Linked DNA regions of Kluyveromyces lactis. The protein of the gene in region 1 purifies or fractionates together with the protein of each later gene. This does not show direct contact. Links are inferred from orthologs where the notes say so. Each region holds a gene or a part of one and is shown in the gene's direction. Other genes may lie near its edges.

Region 1 (5,408 bases):
ATCTATGCTAACAGCATGCGGTTTTGAGTAGCAGCAGGCTGTGGTTCGAGGTTGGGCAGCATGCGTTGGAATGGCTTTCTTCTTAGTCACGTGTACTTCATCAAAATGAATTTCACCACTATGACTAAGTGTGGTCCAGAAGTGCTACGAGCATATGGATGCATCGATGACCCAACCTATGAGTAGAATCGATTGAATTCGTTCTGCTCAAACAGTACAAAGCCCCGACAGTAGTTGCACATTGTACACTGTTTGCTGGAAGTTGGAATATCTCCTTGTTTTACTTCTACTACATTTATAATGGCGAAAGTATTGTTCTTGGGCCCTGTGGGAACATATTCACATCAAGCAGCACTCCAACAATTTCCAAACGAGGAGCTAATACCGGTGACATCTATCCCTGCATGTTTCGAAAAGCTCATTTCAGACATAGATATGGACTACGGGGTAGTTCCTCTCGAAAACTCCACCAACGGTCAAGTTGTTTTCACGTACGATCTTTTCAGAGATTTTATGCAAGCAGATTTAAGTCCAAGTGTTGAGGTTGTTGGTGAACAATACGTCGACATTGCCCATTGCTTGATTTCACCAGTACCGCTCTCAGAAGAACAATTAAGAAAGGTTGATGTTATATATTCACATCCACAAGTTTGGGGCCAAGTAAAAGACTATCTCAGTGATCTTGAAACAAAATACGGTAAGACCGCCAAGATCGACTGCAGTTCGACTGCGGGGGCTGTGGAAAGATGCATAGCTGAATATGCCACTGATAGAAAAATAACTCTAGCAATTGGAAGCCGTGCGAGTGCATCACTAAATAAAGCTACGATTGTGGAAGGCGGTATCAATGATGTCAATGGAAATACGACAAGGTTCTTGATCTTGAAAAGGCGTGACGAATCTAGCGAAATTGGCAGCCAAGCTCTCCCACCTAAAGGCGATGAAATGAAAGTAAACTTTGTCACCTTCGTGATAAATCAAGATGATCCAGGTTCCTTAATAGATGTATTAAATGTCTTGAGGGAGTATAAGTTGAATATGTGCTCAATCAGTTCGAGACCATTCCATAATCAAGTGCAATCAGAAAGAAAATGGCAATATTGCTTCTTTATTGAGTTTTATGGCAATTACGGTACTGATTACGAACTTCTGGCGAAAAGGTTTGACGAAAACTGCGCAAAATGGATTCACTGGGGTAAATTCTACCGAAACGCACTGTATTACCAAATCCCATGATATATGCATTATGTTTAGAAACAAAATGCAAATACTGATCTTAAAAACGAAGCAATCGAAGAGGAATGTACGCATCCTAGTTGTATTCATGGAACAACGCTGTCCTGTCTATTGTTTTGGGACCGATCGAACCTGTCGATAATTCCATTAGAAGCTCGTTACGTAACTATATATACACAGAAGCCAGATTATCTAAGCTTCTTCCCAATGGTAGATATTAAATCCACACTATCCGCTTGGTATTAAATCATTGGAAATCTAAATTGAGTAACATTTTTTGCGGTTCGAACAGTCCAATAGCGATATTAAATTTCGATAATGCATCTTTGTAGGCTTAACACTCTATCTTCACTTGCCACACCGAGCCAATTTCCAAGGTTTATTATCCAACGGACAAACATTTCTGCTCTTGATCCATTGGGTAATACAATGTAGGTGGAATGCGTGGTTGCACTCACCCCAGGCGGCTACACATTCATGCTCCGAGTTGAAAGTTGCTTCCTGCTGACAATTTACACATGGTTCCATAATATGATTTCTGCAAATGGCACAATTATCAACGTCAATATCCCATGACCAAAAAGCTACCGCTGTCCATTTCGTTATCTCAAAATTGGGCTTTGACTCAGTAGCACCCTCTGTCCCGCTCTGTGCCTCTATTGGTCCCAAATCCGTGGCCATCTCCTAACGATCAGCTACTATTGGTAAATATAAATCCTTCCTTCTTTAAAACAGATTACAAACAGACGTTCTAAGTCCCAGGTCTAACTGTCGTTCAATCCTTGGAAACGCGGGTGTGAAAACCTTTTTTTAAACTATTAATGATCGAATAGAGTAGTCTTATGAATGACAAAAGATATACCCTGTGGACTATAATGGGATCTATGGACTTTCGTAACTGCCCAAACGTTCAGAAACATTAGAATTCATGTTGAAAGAGAGACAAGAGTGATATTCATATCACGTGAATACAAACATTTGTTACCCGGATGTGAAATTGTACATGAAATGGAAATCCAACTTATAGTAACCAGCACAAACAGAAACAAGTGATAAATCAGTGAACACAGGAAAGCGTGTTGGCGATATCAGACCTGTGTTAGACCTCCGTGGCCATAATCTGTCCAGATTCAAGATAAACTGGAACCTCGACCGTCCTTTAAAGTATTGAAATCCCTCTCAATAAAAGATTTTTTTGAAAGTGATTGTGAAAGTGAGAGACAATACTGCCAGTCAGAAGCTAAAATATAAAGGACCATGAGTGACAAGAACGAAGTATCATCATTGTATCCTCCACCACCACCGTTCATTCAATTTTTCACCGAAGAGAACTCAAAACTATTTAGAGAATGTGGCAAAGATGAAGAAAAACTAGCGAAATGTACAACAAAACAGAGGGAGCAGTTGAAATATTTTGTGAAGCCAGAACTACCCAGGGATGGTTCATACAGAGCATTTGGTAATGTATGGAAAATTAAGGATGAACTACCGGAGTTATCACAGATGGGAATTGAACAATTATATAGGAAACGGGAATCTGTCACGGAATTGGAAAACGGGACCACAACAGAAGTTGAACCTAGTCCTCAAGATTCGCAAAGTGGGACAAATTACGAGAACAAGATCCAAGAGTCGAAAAAACTAATGAAATCACTATTACTAAATTTCCTAGAGCTTATAGGAATATTGGGAGTGGATTCAAGTAGATATGAGAAAAAACTTGACGAGATAAGGGTGATAGCCATCAATATTCACCATCTTCTTAACGAATATAGACCGCACCAAAGTCGTGAATCGCTAATCATGTTATTTGAAGAACAATTGGAACATAAACGCAAGGAAATGGAACACATCAATAAAGTCTGTGATGAAGTGGAATCCAAGCTGGCTCAACTGTGATATATATCCCAGCATACCAGTTGTTAAGGCGATCTCTAAAAACGAAGACTTTGGTATCAAGATGTTTAATTAAACTTTCATAAGTTCGGCTGCTTGAGAGATTTAATTCGAAATTTAGCCGCCGAATAAGGTATACAGAATAAGAAAATCAGCAAACTTTCTCCCAATGCAAGCAAAGGGGGAAGACAAATTTAATAGCAAGATGTCGGACGAAGCTAATGCTCATTATTTCTAAAAGTCCTAATACCAACTCTCTGACGCTGATTATGTAACGAAGACCTAGTAAGTTTAAAATACAAGTCACGTGCTCTACATGACTCGCGAAGTCCTTTTTCTTTTGTCTTCCCAGAATGGGGTAGAATTGCCGATTTCTCTTCGATTTCAGGTATGGCGGATCGGAGAAACTAATTCCACAGGAAGAAATCCTACAATTCCCTTACACCACACTACGCATTATAAAAAAGACCCAAAAAAAGAATTAGCGATCGGAATAACTCGTGCAGAGAGTGTAGGGCCTAAACGGGCAAAGAGGAGAACAAATGACCAGGCATGAAAAAGAGACCAAAGAGAGACAGAAGAGGGGAACGGCGGGCAGAGGGCAAATAGAAAAAACCGCCAGGCAGATTATCCGAAAGACACACAACAGAATAGCGCGCGAAACTGTCGTCAGTACCTCTCTCACACCGGTTTCCTCGAGAGGAAACCGTTACACCGATTAAATCGGAGCTGTAACGGGCAGCTGGGTTAGTTTACCGTAATAAACGTGACAGATCCCAGGACTGATCCATTTTATTGTCAATATGTCAGCCTTCTTTTCGGCAACATGCTCTCTTTTTTAAAGCCTAACAGGAATTGAATTGCCAAAGTAAGCTATAATTCCTGTAATGGAGGAGAGCGCACCGCGTGGTGCCTGACTTGGGCTAGTATAGCAATGCGTGAATAGTTTACACCTATATAATATATATAGTGAGGGACAAACCAAGGGTTGACACACTGAACTGTTACCTGGGGGCATCTTTCCTACTTGTAACCAAAGGGACAAACATAACCTGACAACGTGTCGTCACAATTCGGGTATACTATCGTTTTCTCTACCCTTTCTGTCTCTAGCATTTCGCTCTGCAATCTACGCTATCTTCGCTTCTTTTTTTTTTCTTCTTTCTTTTCGATTTCAAGAATATCTGTTGAATCTTTTCTTTTGAGAGTGTTTCGGATCAACTTATGCCAGTTTTCGATACACATTTAAGCTCTAGTGTTTTTCAGATCGACCACGTAAAGAATTAACCCGTTAAAAGTTGAAAGGTGAAGAAGCACAGAAGCAAACAGCAAGCTCGCAAGCACAATTCGACGAGACATACACACCAATCAAGGATGTCGCGACCCAACGAAAATCTAAGGCCCGAGTTATTAAGAAGTCTAGAGTCGAGGAAACACTTGAACTCGAGGACGGTTTCTACCAATACTTCCACGAATTCTTTATTTTCACTACATGGCTCAAGCTCATCGTCAATTTATCCGACGATTTCACATACAGAAACAGAGATAGATGTGAGTAACCATACAGATGGGTACTTTGCCGGATTACAAGGCTCATCGTCGGCGAACCATGCTGCTAACAATTCTTATTTGTCTCAGGGAAGTTCGTTGACTATACAGTTTGGGAACAAGAGGCAGAATTTAAACCATAAATTTTGCGTGATTCTCATCGGTTTACCAGCCACTGGAAAGTCTACCATATCCAGACATTTGATCAATTTCCTTCACTCGTCTCGTAGTACAGCGCATCTTCGATGCTCTATCTTCAATGCCGGTAACGTGAGACGTAAGTTGAGCACCCGCCGTCAGGTCTCGCCGTTCATGGCGCCTGAGTTGAACAAGTCGGAGGAGGACGTTTTCAATCCAAAGAACTCGCATAAGAAAGAGGAATATGCAAGAATAGCCCTTTCTAAGCTTTTGAATGATTTGAAACAAGATAGATGTGATTTGGCTATATTCGACGCCACCAACTCGACTTTGCAAAGAAGAAATTACGTGTTGCAGGAGATTAGATCCTTCAATAAGGCCCAATACGATAAACATAATGCAAGAAGAAGCAACAATAAGAACCGCGCACGTGGGGATGATATAGATGAAGATGAATATGAAGATGAGGCCGACGATCGTGCTGATGCGATTCATATAACACCTATCTTTTTGCAAGTCTCCTGCACTGATCCCAACTTCATCAAATACAACATACACAATAAGACTTTTAATCAGGATTATTACGATAA
Region 2 (7,156 bases), on another chromosome or scaffold:
AAAAGAAAGTTTTTGGAGGATGAATTAGGATCAGATACTGTCGATCTAATGCGGAAAGTAAAGTTAGCTATAGATCCAAAGAGACTGTTGAATCCAGATAAAGTACTCAAGATCGATCCCTTAGATCCTAGTAACGAATGAAACCACCAACCACAAAAAGGAAAAGATACCAGAGGTGTGAAGCCTCGTATCCTCTGAGAACGCGATCTATAGACTACTAATTTATTTTATTTATATACAGTTGAACTTTTAATGATATTATTATTACTATAGTCATCATTCATTCTATCATTGCCTTCGATCCAAAGTGTTCATCGGCAATATGATTGACAACTATCCAACCGAATGAATTAACAAACCTGCGACGAACAATGATGTTATTATGGGAATCAGGCTGTAGCTCAACGATGACCTTTCTCCAGTCCATTGTCTCCTGCCAGTACCTTGCTATTCGTTCTTCTTTCATATGGATCGAGTAATTGGGATATATTATCTTTTTCACAAGCTTCTTATGTTTGTAGTGTTTATCTGGTAATTCTTCCGGGGTATAAACCTTGTCATGAATAATTCTGTCCGTTCTACTGGAGGGATCCACTAGGTACGACATTCCTGGCAGCGGTGCCGATATTGTACTTGCAGCAGCTTGCAATGTATTTGCCTTTTTTGGAGGTTTGAAAGTAGTTGGAGAGTCAGAATTATTGTTCGAATCACTACTGGCAGATTCTACCGAACTGGTAGTTTGAGTCCGCACATACGGTTTATATTTTTCCTTTTTAATGAGTGACTGGGGCAGCAACCATTGGAGAATAGACTTATTGTCCGAAGAGCTCTCTGGAATTTCCCCCAAAGATGACCCTTTCTGTTCTTCAACTCCCTCCTCAGATTGGGCATTGTTTTCGCTCCTCACCTGTTGCACATCACTTAAACCTCTCCAATCAAGATATAGTAAAGCAGCCGTCCTTAGAGGCACTATACCATCAAATGCGACATTAGCATACACGGTTCTACACTTGAATCGTTGGAAAACTTCTAACGCCGGATGTTTAGGTAAAAGCTCTAATATGGGTTTAGATTTGATTCTATCATGTGATCCATCATTATTTACAATACCTTTTGATGGCAGAAAATAGCTGCGCTTCAATGTGAGATCCCTTCCAGTCTGTCCCAAAGCGCCAATGTCCAGCACGATAGATATGTATTTGGGCAAATCTCCAATGACTCCGAGGAATGGGCTCGCCGCCGCCACAAAATTGACGGGTGTCAAGCCTGTGGTCTTGTCAAATATGTCTGGTCGTTCGACAGAGATATAGTGAATGGCCATAGCTTGCACGGGTCCTCCCAAAGAGTGACCTACAAATGAGATTCTTGTTAAGGTGAATTGCTGTTGAAGTTTATCGATGGTATCGATTATATATTCTGCCAACTTGAATCCTAGATGCCGTATACCTTTATGAGACTTCCCGACGTTTCCAGGATACCCTCTTATTACAAGATTGCCATTATTATCATCTGGCAAAAAGTTCGACGCTCGTTCAATGGTGTCTTTTAAGCAAAGCATATCTCCGCCAATAGAAGAGAAGATGCCATGTGTAATAATTACGAGATGAACTGGCTTATCTGGAAATGGCGGAGGTAAATTCCACAACTGTTCAGTGTCAAGTTTGGAAATTTTCAACCCATCAGTCTGCTGAACTTCTATATTCTTGTCTTTCTGGGAATGTTTAGCAGTTTTGTATGTTGTAGCTAGCGTGAAGACGAATGGAAGCCTTACAATGGTAACGACAGTGAACTGGGCAATAAGGTCAATCTTCCAAGCATAACAAGAAGTACCGTCAACTCGAGCATTAGAATTGAGATAAAGTTTCGCTTTGAAATTCTCATCAGGCTTGAGGTCACTCATGAACTCAATTCCATCTCCTATGAATTGCTTTCTCTCGTCATAATTGTTCGGCGTTATTTCAACATAAATTGAGTATGGTCCAGTTATCCATAACGGCCTCAAAAGCGCGCTCTCCTGGTTTTTGAATTCGAGATAGAGAGTATCGTCAGTACACTCAATTCCGTCAGATAGTAGCTTATTTTTATCTACAATTATCTTATAGCGATTGACATCCCCGATACCAAGTGACCCTGTTTCCCTTAAAAGCAGAATACCACTATCTGATGACTCAGTGTCGTTCTCTTCAGTCAGTTTTATTGCCATCTTGGCATACGCCAACCACTGTTAGCAGAAGTACAGGTTATACTGCGTTTCCAATTGAGAGTGCGCCGCTAATCACGGGGGGTGCGTTTAGCTTTATGCTTTGGTACCTGTCATTCATTGTTTTGTATTGGCAATCTTTTTTGTTTTTGTTTTATAATGATCAAGCGATTCATTATTATAAGTAGTGATAACTCGAGATAAAATCGTATAATTTTAAAAGAAGGTAACTAGACAGCATCTCTTAACAAGTACGGATTTTTGAAGTACCGTTGCATCCTAATCAGTCTGACTATCCAGCTTACTTTTCATCAGAGCAACGGAAACCATGAAAAAGGAGGTTGGGGACGCATGTCGATTGGAGGACATCGTTACCAATTTATACAGGTTAGAAACTGTCAAACAAATAAACTATCACCAATATGTACCTAGCAAGGCAGATAATCAATGGTCAATTCAAGCAGAGTTGTTCCTAAGGAGGAAAAACCCCAAAGTACTTGCAGCTCTTTTTTCCAGGGAGTTATGGTGTTTTAGTATTAACGATGATCCATTACCAGAGTTAAACCTTGAGCTGAATAACGAATCGGAGTCACCCCAGCCAGAGCGGAAGGGTCACTTCACCCCAGAATTCTCAAAACCTCACTTGCCTACCCCATATGCCATCTTTATGAAGGCTCTCAGGCGTATGATATATGTCAATTTGACCCTATCCTCCAATGAAACCATCGTGCCCTTTGGAAACTCATGCATATTTCAGGAATCATATACCTTTTCGACCAAAATCTTACACTTTGATCCACATCTATTTGAAAATGGAGATTTGACTGTTGCAATTTGTTCCAAGGATTTGGGTTTATCGAAGTTGAATGCAGAGAGCCTCAAACATGAAGTGGCTGTGTATTTGGCTCCATCTGGGATCAGAGTGTATTTACCATCCACAGATTTAAAGAAATGTTATGTATCACCACCCAAAAACGCTCAAATGTTTCTCAAGACACTATTTGTCTCCCATGGAATAAATTTAATCGATGTCGACGGTTTGAAATGGGTAAAGCTTATTCCAAATGCTAACCATTTGAATGGCTTCACTCCAACAATATCACATTATCTTGACGAACCAAAAGGAAATAATTTCGTTATCTGGCCGGCATGTCTCTGTTTTGTACAAACAGCATCTGACGTTCAAACTCCTCAATATACTGCATTTTCAAGATCCCCGCAGCTTGAGTTAGATGATTGTTTCGATATGATAGATGGATTTATACAGTTAAAACTCACTTCGGCCTACAGAACGCCTGGAACATCTGCAGGGATGGGAACTGTAACCGGACATAACCCATTAAGTACGGGAGGAATATTTACTGATCAGTTTCAAGGGTTTAATAAGCATTCGGCCAATAACAGCAATAACGTATCTTCAACGGGAGAGAATGGTAAGTTTTCTCCGGAATACTCTAATGATCCAAACGTAACACCTCTGCGAGATAATAAAACTAGTAGACAGAATTTCCCCACAGAGAGTTACAGCAGTAATGGTTTCATTACAACTCCAATAATAAATGAGAATATCACTCCAACCGTTGATGATATTATAACAGAAACTCCTTCCGTAAAACCTCAGAACGATCTTTGGAATGAGAAAAAGGATGTAATAAATAGTACATCCAATATCAACTCAAAGGACGCATCAGTAGGTAGTTCTGAGCGTAAAGTAGAACTGGAAACCGCTTTTGAATCTCCCGCTCAGAATATTTCGATAGAGGAACACGAGCATGTAGAATTCGACAAAGATCTTTTTGGTGAAGATAGCGACGAAGATGTCAGTACGCGAAATAAGAACGAAGAACTGGTATCTGTAAAAGAGATTACTGACGAAATGTTTGATCTAGCCGAAGATGACGATGAGGCTGACGGATCAACTAGTAACTCGTTAAAGTTTGATCGTCCCGACACCATCGAGTCTATTGATACTGACGAAAAGAAGACAAGAACAAAGCGTACCTATTTGGACATACCAGTGGATGTCATTACTATAGAAAAGACACCTACATTATACGAAGATCCAGGAGCACCTTTGCCTATTGAAACCCCAAAAGACAGAAAGAAAAGTATATTCGCACCACTCAATTTCAACCCCATCTTTGAAAGTAATGTGGATAACAAGTACAAGAATGGAGGTAAGTTTTCTGTTAACTCGAACACCAATGACGAACCAATACAATTTGGGATAAGTACAAGTAATATATCAAGCTCAGAAGATGATGATAGCGATTTTTCTCCTGCTGATTTCAACAATAATGGACCATCTGCAGGAAAGGGCTTATCATATGATCCAAGAGACAATGATATACCAATGATCGAGTCATCAACATACGAACCTATTGCAAAGGACTCTCTTCCCGAATTGATAAACCCACCATCTTCTTCCAAAGATGATTCTGTGGCATCTTATAATACGATCGGAACTCTAATGGAAAAACCTGTTAAGTCCAACTTAGACGCAATATGGAAGCCCGCCTTAAGTAAATCAGAAAGAGCTGATCTACCAAACCAGACAATTAATGGGGTCATAAACGACTGCAATAACAGCTCAAACTCAAATCCCACAACTTACTTTGAGAATACGCCTTCTCTCGGACCGGATACTCTATATGATAATTCAAAACCAAGAAGTTCATCAGCTAACTTTCTTTCCACGGTTGAAATCGACCCCAAAAGCGAACAAACTATTCAAACCGCAGAGCAAGAACAATCTGAATCATCTAGAATTCTCCCCTACCTTTTGAGACACATGCCTTTGTTCTCGTTGCCTGACGTGTTCCTTTGTCAGAATCCATCTTTGCCGCCCGGAAAAGACTTCGAGGATATTCTAGAGATTTTGACAGATCAGATAGTCTTCAATAATGATATGTTTTCTGATGATAGGGCAACAGAATCTCAGTTTAAAGGGATCAAGGATTGCTCCGTTGGCACCATCAGCGATACCATGAACCAGCTTTTTGGGAATTTTTCAAAGCTTCACGGAAACGAAATAATAGAGGAAGTCTTCTATTTGCCTGAACCATCAGTGTTTGTGAAGAAATCTGAAGATACAATTAAAATAAAAAGCTCATCGTGTTATTTCACGGAATATTTAAATCTGAAACCCAACCGTGGGGTAAAAAATTTCAGGGCCCTAGTGCTAACCACTGAGGCAAAAAATGATTGCATGTCTTTCGTATCACAAATGTCTCAGACATATTCGAATCATGAGTTAGGGTTCTGTGAACTGACTAAGTTGACTAATGACGATAATAAAGGGTTAATATACTTAAAAAATTTTAACCAAGACACCTTACTACTTCTTTCCGCACAGATTGTATCTTTCTGTTCAACAGCACTCTCAAATATTAAGAACATTCCTTTACTCATCTTTCTCCCCATCAACAAACTTTCATTAACAGAATGTATATCAATGATCCTCAAGTTTCATGTAATCAGGAAGGAGTTCAAATCTAAGTTACCAAAGGCAGATATTTTGTTGAGGCTCGTGAATATAGATTTCCTCAAAAATCCACTTACACCTATCACTGCGTACACTTCATTGTGTATGGCAATCTATAATAGTCTACCACCAAAAAGTACTAAGGTAACGTCCCTAACAAATGATTTACCCAAACAAATTGAGTTCCGGACACTGAAGAATGCCTCCTTATCTATCCATTACGATAACTACATCCATTTGGCATACTTGAGAAGTATTGATCGTGAGTGGCTGTGTGCTGCCTGGTCAGACACCAAAGGCGTCGAAAGCTTCGTGAAAACCTGGTATGTCGGTAACTCCAGAACTCGTTTCGAACAAGTGTGCAATGACATCTGGAAAATAACCCTACAATTGGCGTCTAAGAATTTTGGAAATGTTTGCTTGGTGTTGACAAGACTCGATAGTGTCCTTCCTGATGACGAATTGATCCATTGGAGACGTCTATCAGTCGCCACAAAAGATCTCCATCTTGCTGTGGTCTGTGTCGGAGATAACACGAAATTAACATTATTCGATGAGGACAAAACATACCCAACATTTAAAAACTTGTTCAGAACGAAATCGAATCCGCAGACAGGAATATCAAACAGTATAGACGATCTTGAGATAATTAACATTGATGAGGAAGTCCATGGACTAATATTCAGTAACCCGTTGCAGCTAGCAAACTCCCAGCATAGATGCGCCATCAAAAGTGGAGCATTGATTCGTTTTGCAAAAAGCGAAGGCGATAACTTCATTGATAAATTTGAGGTAAATCTTTTGAACTGCCCTCATGCAGACAGTTCAACACTTTTGAAGGAAATCTTAAAACAATACAGAAACTTGGCAGGTTTGAATCCATGGTTCGGAGTATCCTATGGAAAAGATAATTTCATTCCGTGGCATGTCGTTGCAGTAAAAAATGTCATGAACTCTATTGTACATGTTAAGAGCTCATTCGAAAAGGAGACCCATATTATTGATTAGTTTGAATAGATAAAGTAATATTAATAGGTCTGCTCGAACAAGGGTATCACGTCTTTCACATCCATGAAAGAGTTCGGAGACTTCGCAAATGTGGTCAAAACTCTCAGAAGTTCTTCAAAGTTCCCTTGTGGATGAGTAGTTATGATTAACCTAGTCAATATAATTATGCAAAAATCCATCTGTATTCTCCGCTTCGAAATTCGAGAACGGTTGAATGCCGCAGACCTGTCTATGGCTCTGAGCAATTTCATTAATTCTGAAGTCACTTCTTCAAAATTCGACATCTTGTTAACAATGTTGAAAGTCCGCCTTGGCTCAACATTACTAAACGCCTTATTCAATAACTTTTCAACCAATGTTGTTATCAAATTTCTGTCCTTTTCTACATCGCATGAGAGGAAGAACTGTTTGAACGAACTAATTTTTAAATCACTATACAGTGCATCAACAATTGTGCCATACAA
Region 3 (7,132 bases), on another chromosome or scaffold:
GGACATTTATTCGTACCTCATTGGACCAACCAAAATGTTACCACATGCTGAAAGATCAAAATTGCAGTTCGGTGGTGATGAATGTTTCTTATGTTTAGTGACAGACGGAGTAACTGAATTGATGAGCGATCAAGAACTCTGTGATCTCATCACCTCCACAGTGAACAATAGAGGTTTGAAAACTGCTTCTCCACACTTCTGTGCTCAGGAAGTTTTACAATATGTTATGGCTATTAGCTCTAAACATTCTGATAATGCTACTTGCGTAATTCTGCGGTTACCGAACTGGGGAAATTGGCCTGTCATTGATCGCACTGGTGCGATTAGAGAGGAAAAGCTACTAAGTGGTGTATCCGGTGGAGAAAGATCTAGTGGTTGAAAAAAGTCCACAAACTTAATCATAAATTAAATTCAAAAGAAACCTCAAGTAAAGAGTGTATATTCTATTTTACTTCAATTATTATATATAGTACTCGTTATGATTAACATTTGCATCTATTTAACAATGAGAAACACCATTAACTCCCAATTAATCGAGAGCACTTGTTCAATAAATCATTTCTTAGTAATAGATACAGTTACGTATGGAGTACACGGTGGTACATGAACTTCCAGGTGTGATTTTATATACATGCTGCTGTCTGACTAACTTTGTGCTTTTCATAAATGTCAAATCATTTGTTCTTAGTTTGAGTATAACTGAATCTCTTTCTTGTTGGTACGAATTCTCCTAGCTTACTTCCTACCATATCTTCTGTCACTTCAAACGCGACATACTCCTTACCATTATGCACTTGGAATTTCAGTCCGACAAATTGAGGTAATATGGTGGCAGATCTGGCATTTGTTCTAATGGGCGTACCTTTGGCCAATGCTTCTTTTATTGGTAATGGGACTATATTTGGACCTTTCCATACAGAACGTGATAGTAATCTCAATGACGGGAACATTTTATGACGTTATGAGTGTTATCGTAGACGCGAGATATTTGTCTAACTGCTGGAACCTTTGGCTGACTGATATCATGGTAGTGACTTAACTCTATTATATCTTGTCGTTATTTCAAGTTTTACAGATTGAAATTTTTTATGAATTCCGTTCTGAAATAAAATAATAGACGAATGGCGATGAGATGTAATATGATGCGATGAGCTTCAGGAATTTAGAAGGTCAGTAACAGCATAGCGACAGCATAACGATAGCATCCAGTCAATAACATGTTTGCTGCAAGGTTTGATCCTACTAAGGTGACTGAAAATGTACTAACAGCTGAAGTCACACAAATAAAAGAACCCACTGTGCCCCAAAAGAGGAAAAGAGATGCGGAAACTGATGATGAAGGCTCTGGTGAGGACGATGCTTCCAGCAGTGAGGATGATGCTTCCAGCAGTGAGGATGATTCCGATACAATTAGTGAGCAAGATGAAAACAAGGTTGCATCTGTTGCGCCTACAGAAACTTCTCAGCAATCAGTTGATGCAAAGCACAGTTCCGTATTAAATAGATTTCAACAGACTCTTTCCCTGCAAGGTGCGTTGAGCGCTTCAGACAAGGTCAGTAGTGACAACGATGTACACGATGAGGACGTATCCATGAAAGATGTTCACAGTCTTACCCCAATTCCTCAACCGGCCAAAGTGACCAATGAAGCCTTGAAGCTTCTAGATCCGTCTACATATAAATCCACTGCGTGGGATGCAGCAACCAAAATTCATTACGATAGTAAAATGGTTAAACAATTCGATAGCTACGAAGGTGAATTAGATGCACGTCTGCTTAAAAATATTACCTCCAATTTCTCATCTGAAACGTTCCCTATTCAGACCATTCTATTCGATAAAGTGCTCCCGCTTCTAAACTCATCTTTTAAAGCAAACAGAAAACTTTTCACAAGACGAGTTGGTGATATATTAGTAAACGCATCAACTGGTTCCGGTAAGACCTTAGCATATTCTGTCCCTTTGGTTCAAATTTTGAGATCTAGAACAGTGAATAAAGTTAGGGCAATAATTTTGGTTCCTACTAAAATTTTAATTCATCAAGTCTACGATTGTCTCTCTAAACTAAGTCAAGGGACCAGTCTCAATGTATCAATGTCGAAACTCGAGAACTCCTTGAAAGAAGAACACAACAAATTTTTGTATAACTCTCCAGACATTCTAATCATCACTCCGGGCAGACTGGTCGATCACTTGCAGATGGAATCATTTGACCTAAAAACTTTGAAGTTCTTAGTCCTTGATGAAGCAGACCGACTATTAAATCAGTCATTCCAAAATTGGAACCAAGTGCTTTTCCACCATTTGACAAACGATAAGCAGGATAAACGTCCAGGAAACGTAATCAAAATGGTCTTTTCTGCTACTTTGACTACGAATGCAGAAAAGTTGTACAATTTGTATCTCCACAACCCCAAGATCTTCCTCACAGATTCTGTTAAATTATATTCAATACCTAAGAAATTGCAAGAACTCAATGTCAATATTCCTACTGCTAAGAGTCTGTTCAAGCCACTACTCTTACTAAGAATAATACACGACATCAAGAGCAGTGCTTCGAGAAACGCTAAAATATTAGTGTTTGTGAAGAGTAACGAAGCTTCGATCAGATTAGAAAGCTTATTACATGCCATGTTAGGATCAGGAATAATTGAAGATGAGTATAATATGTTCCTTTCATCAATTCATTCGAACATCTCGAAGGGTAGTAGCAGAAAACTAATACAGGAATTTGCATCCTCAGAACAAAAGAAATCAGTTTTAATTTCAACGGACATAATGGCTAGAGGTATCGATATAAATGAAATTACTCATGTGATAAACTATGATCTACCGATCTCCTCTCAACAATATGTTCATCGTTGTGGTAGAACTGCAAGGGCTAATACTGAGGGTATAGCAATTAACCTTCTAGTTGGTAAGGGTGAACAGAAATTCTGGTCACAACATATTGACACTGACCTCAGTCGTGACATTGATGGTTATCAACCATCTGCTTACCTTGACGAAGAAAAGTTGTCTGAATTATTCTCTATTGAAGACACTTTGAAGGATACGTACAAGGGTTGTATCAAACAACTCCAAACCAGCAAAGAAGCAGACAGTAAATAGCATATTATCACTAAATAAGTAAAAAGATCATAGTAACTGTACCCCATTCTTGGGGCTCGTCTAAGTGATATTTGAGAAGGCACTAATGATCTTATACTTACTATCTATTTTGCCTCTTCTGATGAGTTGATCATGTGACATGTTATTTATTGTTCGAGCAGTGTTTTTCCTCCACTTTAGAACTTTCTTTACCTTAAATTGATATGTGATTGATCGTTCAGAATCACTGAAACACTATAAACCTTCAAAGTACCTTAGGCAGGTTAAACTGTCTTAACTAGTGCTTGTTAACACATATAAGTAGTCAGAGAATAACCGCTAGATACTTCTGATGTCACCGTCAAAATATTTACTAACTCCTCCGGAGGAATTACATCCGCTCACCGACTCCAACCCACAAATCTATCCTGATTTTGATCCGTGGATTCACACCAAAGAGGAGGATAAGATACTTAAAGAGTTCGTGGCAAAAGGCTACTATACTGCTTCTAGGGTAAACTTTGAAACCATTTCTGCTCGTTCAGCTTTACAAGGATCACTTCCCAAAGTTTCCTCATTGTTAGGAGATGAATTATCCAAGATTATTGAGATACGAGAACAAGAAATTAATAGGATAAGTACACTGGACATAGAAGACAGTACAAGGTTCACTAAATGGTCCGGTCAAGATTTTCATTTGCCTAACAGAGTCACGCTTACAGATCAAAAGAGGAATCTGTGGCTTCAGGAATTAAGCTCATCGAACACATCATTGCGGAAATTAACTAAATCTGTTCCTCATGGATTTAGGAAAAGGCACATTTTGGAACAATGCTACACACAATTCGTTCCAATATATCGTGTCATATGGCTAATCAAAAGTTGCTATGCTATTGAATGGAAAGGAATGATCTCAAAAGCCAAAGGAGAAACCACCCATGAAGAGCTTCTTAGTACTTTGTACAAAGACTGGACCGATAATATGGTCCTTATCCTTGAGAAATTGGTTTTTGAAGTCAGTAAATATTACAATGATCCGGGGCAGTTGAAATATTGGAAGCTACGCATCGCTCATTATTTGAAGATTCTAGGTAACTGTTATGAAATGGAACTATTAAACAGATCTACTTTGCATCAATGGCTGGTAGATTTTTTAAGTAAAATAGAGAGCTTCGAATTCTATCCTATGACATTGCATATCCTTTCTATCTTCTGGAGTGGAATTCTTGGGACAACAGAAGAAGATACAGAAATAGAATCATCGTTTTTGATAATAAAGCTTTCAGAAATTCTATTACGAAAGTACCACATCATATCTGAGTCCAAGTGTATGATTAATGACTCGAAGTATATCATAAATGATGTCCAGAGAAATTCAAAACTCAAAGAGTCTGTTTTATTACGGTTGCGGCAGTTTATTTCCCATATTTTCCATACTCAATCCTTAGAAGCGTTCATCATGCCAAAGCAAAATTGGAACATCTATAAGAATTACTTGTATCAAATATTACTTCAGAATGTCTCTGATGAAGAGACCCCAAAGTTAAAAAAGAAATTGAAATTGATATCATATAGGAATGAATCGTTACGGTTGGGATCCCTTGATGTGGAACCTTCTCGAGAAACCTCTCCTTTCAGCACTGAACTTACCTTAGACAATGTTTTCTCAGGAAATATTTTGAATCTCAAGAATGTGAGCCCAGAATTACTCGGTGTATTAGATAGTGGCCTTTCAGGCTCAGAGTGGAGCTTATTTATTGACCAAAAAATTACGAAAATGGAACAGGTCATTGAAATTATTCTATGGGCAATCAATCCTTCACGTAAGCATCGATATGACAGTTGTCATTTAGTTGCGAAAATATTAGTTTTAAAAATCAATTCTCAAGAATCATTCCAAGAATACAGCATTGAGGATGTTATATGGAGTCTTATTTTCCATTTTTCTAAATTATCAAAGTTAGAATTGCAGAAAATCGTATGGCTTCCGAAGTTGCATCAACTTTTGAATGTCTTTATTGGTTATGGAATAATTAAAGTCCCAACATACATCAGACGTTTGATAAGTTCTGGTGTACTCTATTTGCCAGAATCCGAGAATAAAAATTTCCACTGTAAACTCCTTATCAATTTAAAGATATCACCTATTATGAAGTCGCAATATAACATGGTGTTAAAGAATGTTATGGAGTACGCTCCTCACTTTTATGAGAAGTACAATTTTGACAAGTTAGTGTCGATCTTTGAAAGCCTTAAACCTAAACTTCTTAGTGGTGATTTTGAAAGGCTTGAGGAGTATCCAGGAAGCATACGGATTATGTGCTCCGAATGGTATTTATCTCAAATCTGTTTTAATCAAGGGGAACTTCAGAAGGTCAATAATCATAAGATCATCAAAACATTCCAACTTTTTTGTATCAATCTAGGAGAGTTACATCACTTTTTTGGGTGGGCTGAGTATATTGTTTATCATCAATTAATTGATGACCTTGAAAACTTAGAAGTATTCACTGACATTTTGCTTTATTTGGACAAAGCTTTTCTTTTACTTATCAATGATCATATTTTATTTATGAAGACATTATTACACAGTTATATGAGGGATCTACGGATAAAAGACAAAGCAGCTTTTGAATTGATAAATTTTAAGAGTTTTTGGAAGTTTTTCGTTAAGAATTGTGCAAACATGATTGAAATGGACTCGTCGTTGCAGAATCAAATTGCTGAAGTTTTCGAGTTAGAGAGACACCGGAAAGATCACTTTACTAAAATGCCAAACGAAACGGTGTCGTTATACCTGGAAATAACCGGTAATAAGAATACGAAGTTTGAAGAGCAGAACTTTCCTAGTGTGATCCAGCAAAATATTAAAAAGGTTCTTCATAATCCCGAAGATGAATCCAATTGTAGAAAACTCTTGTTACTATGCAAGGCCTCACACGCCTCAGAGTATAATAAGTTTTTGTCAATTTTTGTGAAAAGAGGAGACTTCACTGTTCATGAATTATTAAAACTTATTTCATTAAAATTACTAAGTTTTGAGGTAATTCAGAAGACATCACATTTTGATTTATTATGTGAATTAGTGTCACAAGTAAGCTTTAATTATGGTCTAAATTTCGAAAATGAAAAGAATGCCTTTGTCAAGAGGAATTTCAAACAAATCACTCTTCAACTTTTCAGTCGACCTACATTCAGGGACACTTTAGTGAGAATGCTAGTGGAATATGGTCCAAATTCAAATTTGAGTGAAAAATCTGCTCAAGTTGTCAGCCACATTTTAAGAGAAGAGAAAAACATGTCTATCATTAGAGATATGTTGATATATGGAATGAATATCGAAAATGAAGCAATAGACAACACCATTGATCTATATCGGTATTTGAACTTCACCAATACTTGGTTGTTCCAGATACTCACCGAATTCAATGTAAAAAACTCTAATGCTGAAGATCTATCGGACTTTTTCTCCAGCATCGTCGGCGCAATTGGTTACAACTCATTATTACCAAAAATATTCAGTAATATCTCAGACAAAAAACAAGTGTCGACCCTTTTGACAGTTATTGAAAGACAATTTTTAGCAAGAGTTTTGGAGACAGAAAAATCTGCGTTAGTCTTCTTGCATATAATGATGGATACAGAAATTGTACTAAGCAGGCATCTGGTAAATATGTCAAGCCTGGGGATGGATTCAGAGGTTTTGGAACTGTTCAAAAATACTATTGCTACATTTGCAAAAATGCCTAACGATACATTAAAGAAATACGACGAAAACTTGAACGAGCTATTAAAGATCGTTATCATTCATGAGAAGTTCATATTGAGACATTGTTTTGAATCAATTGAGCTCCGTGATCACTATATGGTTGACAATTTCTATACTTTGTTCCATAACACCGGTAAAGACTTGAAGTTGAAGCTACTACTTTATGATCTCCTAACTTCTCTAAAGTCTTATATTTTAAACGAAACAAAGGATCAGGCTCTGCACTCAATAAAAATGCCAAGCGTTTTGAATCAATTGCCGAAATTCGCGATTT

What was found.
Region 2: the proteins of MED7 (region 1) and SSN2 purify together in Saccharomyces cerevisiae (affinity purification with mass spectrometry; 4 studies listed by BioGRID). This does not show direct contact. The link is inferred for Kluyveromyces lactis from reciprocal best matches to the Saccharomyces cerevisiae genes MED7 and SSN2.
Region 3: the proteins of MED7 (region 1) and SRB8 purify together in Saccharomyces cerevisiae (affinity purification with mass spectrometry; 4 studies listed by BioGRID). This does not show direct contact. The link is inferred for Kluyveromyces lactis from reciprocal best matches to the Saccharomyces cerevisiae genes MED7 and SRB8.

Annotation. Positions count from the first base shown.
Region 1 is NC_006041.1:647,983-653,390, reverse strand, and holds MED7 (mediator complex subunit MED7), read left to right. Parts: upstream 1-2,493; coding exon 2,494-3,135; downstream 3,136-5,408. Other genes in the region: prephenate dehydratase PHA2, read left to right, coding at 301-1,236; SCF ubiquitin ligase complex subunit HRT1, read right to left, coding at 1,585-1,917; PFK27 (6-phosphofructo-2-kinase), read left to right, coding at 4,507-5,408. UniProt on the Saccharomyces cerevisiae protein: Component of the Mediator complex, a coactivator involved in the regulated transcription of nearly all RNA polymerase II-dependent genes.
Region 2 is NC_006038.1:105,756-112,911, reverse strand, and holds SSN2 (Ssn2p), read left to right. Parts: upstream 1-2,528; coding exon 2,529-6,692; downstream 6,693-7,156. Other genes in the region: KLLA0_B01397g (FAD-binding oxidoreductase), read left to right, coding at 1-141; KLLA0_B01375g (putative hydrolase), read right to left, coding at 281-2,203; Smc5-Smc6 complex subunit NSE5, read right to left, coding at 6,713-7,156. UniProt on the Saccharomyces cerevisiae protein: Component of the SRB8-11 complex. The SRB8-11 complex is a regulatory module of the Mediator complex which is itself involved in regulation of basal and activated RNA polymerase II-dependent transcription.
Region 3 is NC_006042.1:661,948-669,079, reverse strand, and holds the start of SRB8 (Srb8p), read left to right. Parts: upstream 1-3,441; coding exon 3,442-7,132. Other genes in the region: type 2C protein phosphatase PTC6, read left to right, coding at 1-379; RSM19 (mitochondrial 37S ribosomal protein uS19m), read right to left, coding at 675-950; putative ATP-dependent RNA helicase DBP6, read left to right, coding at 1,218-3,110.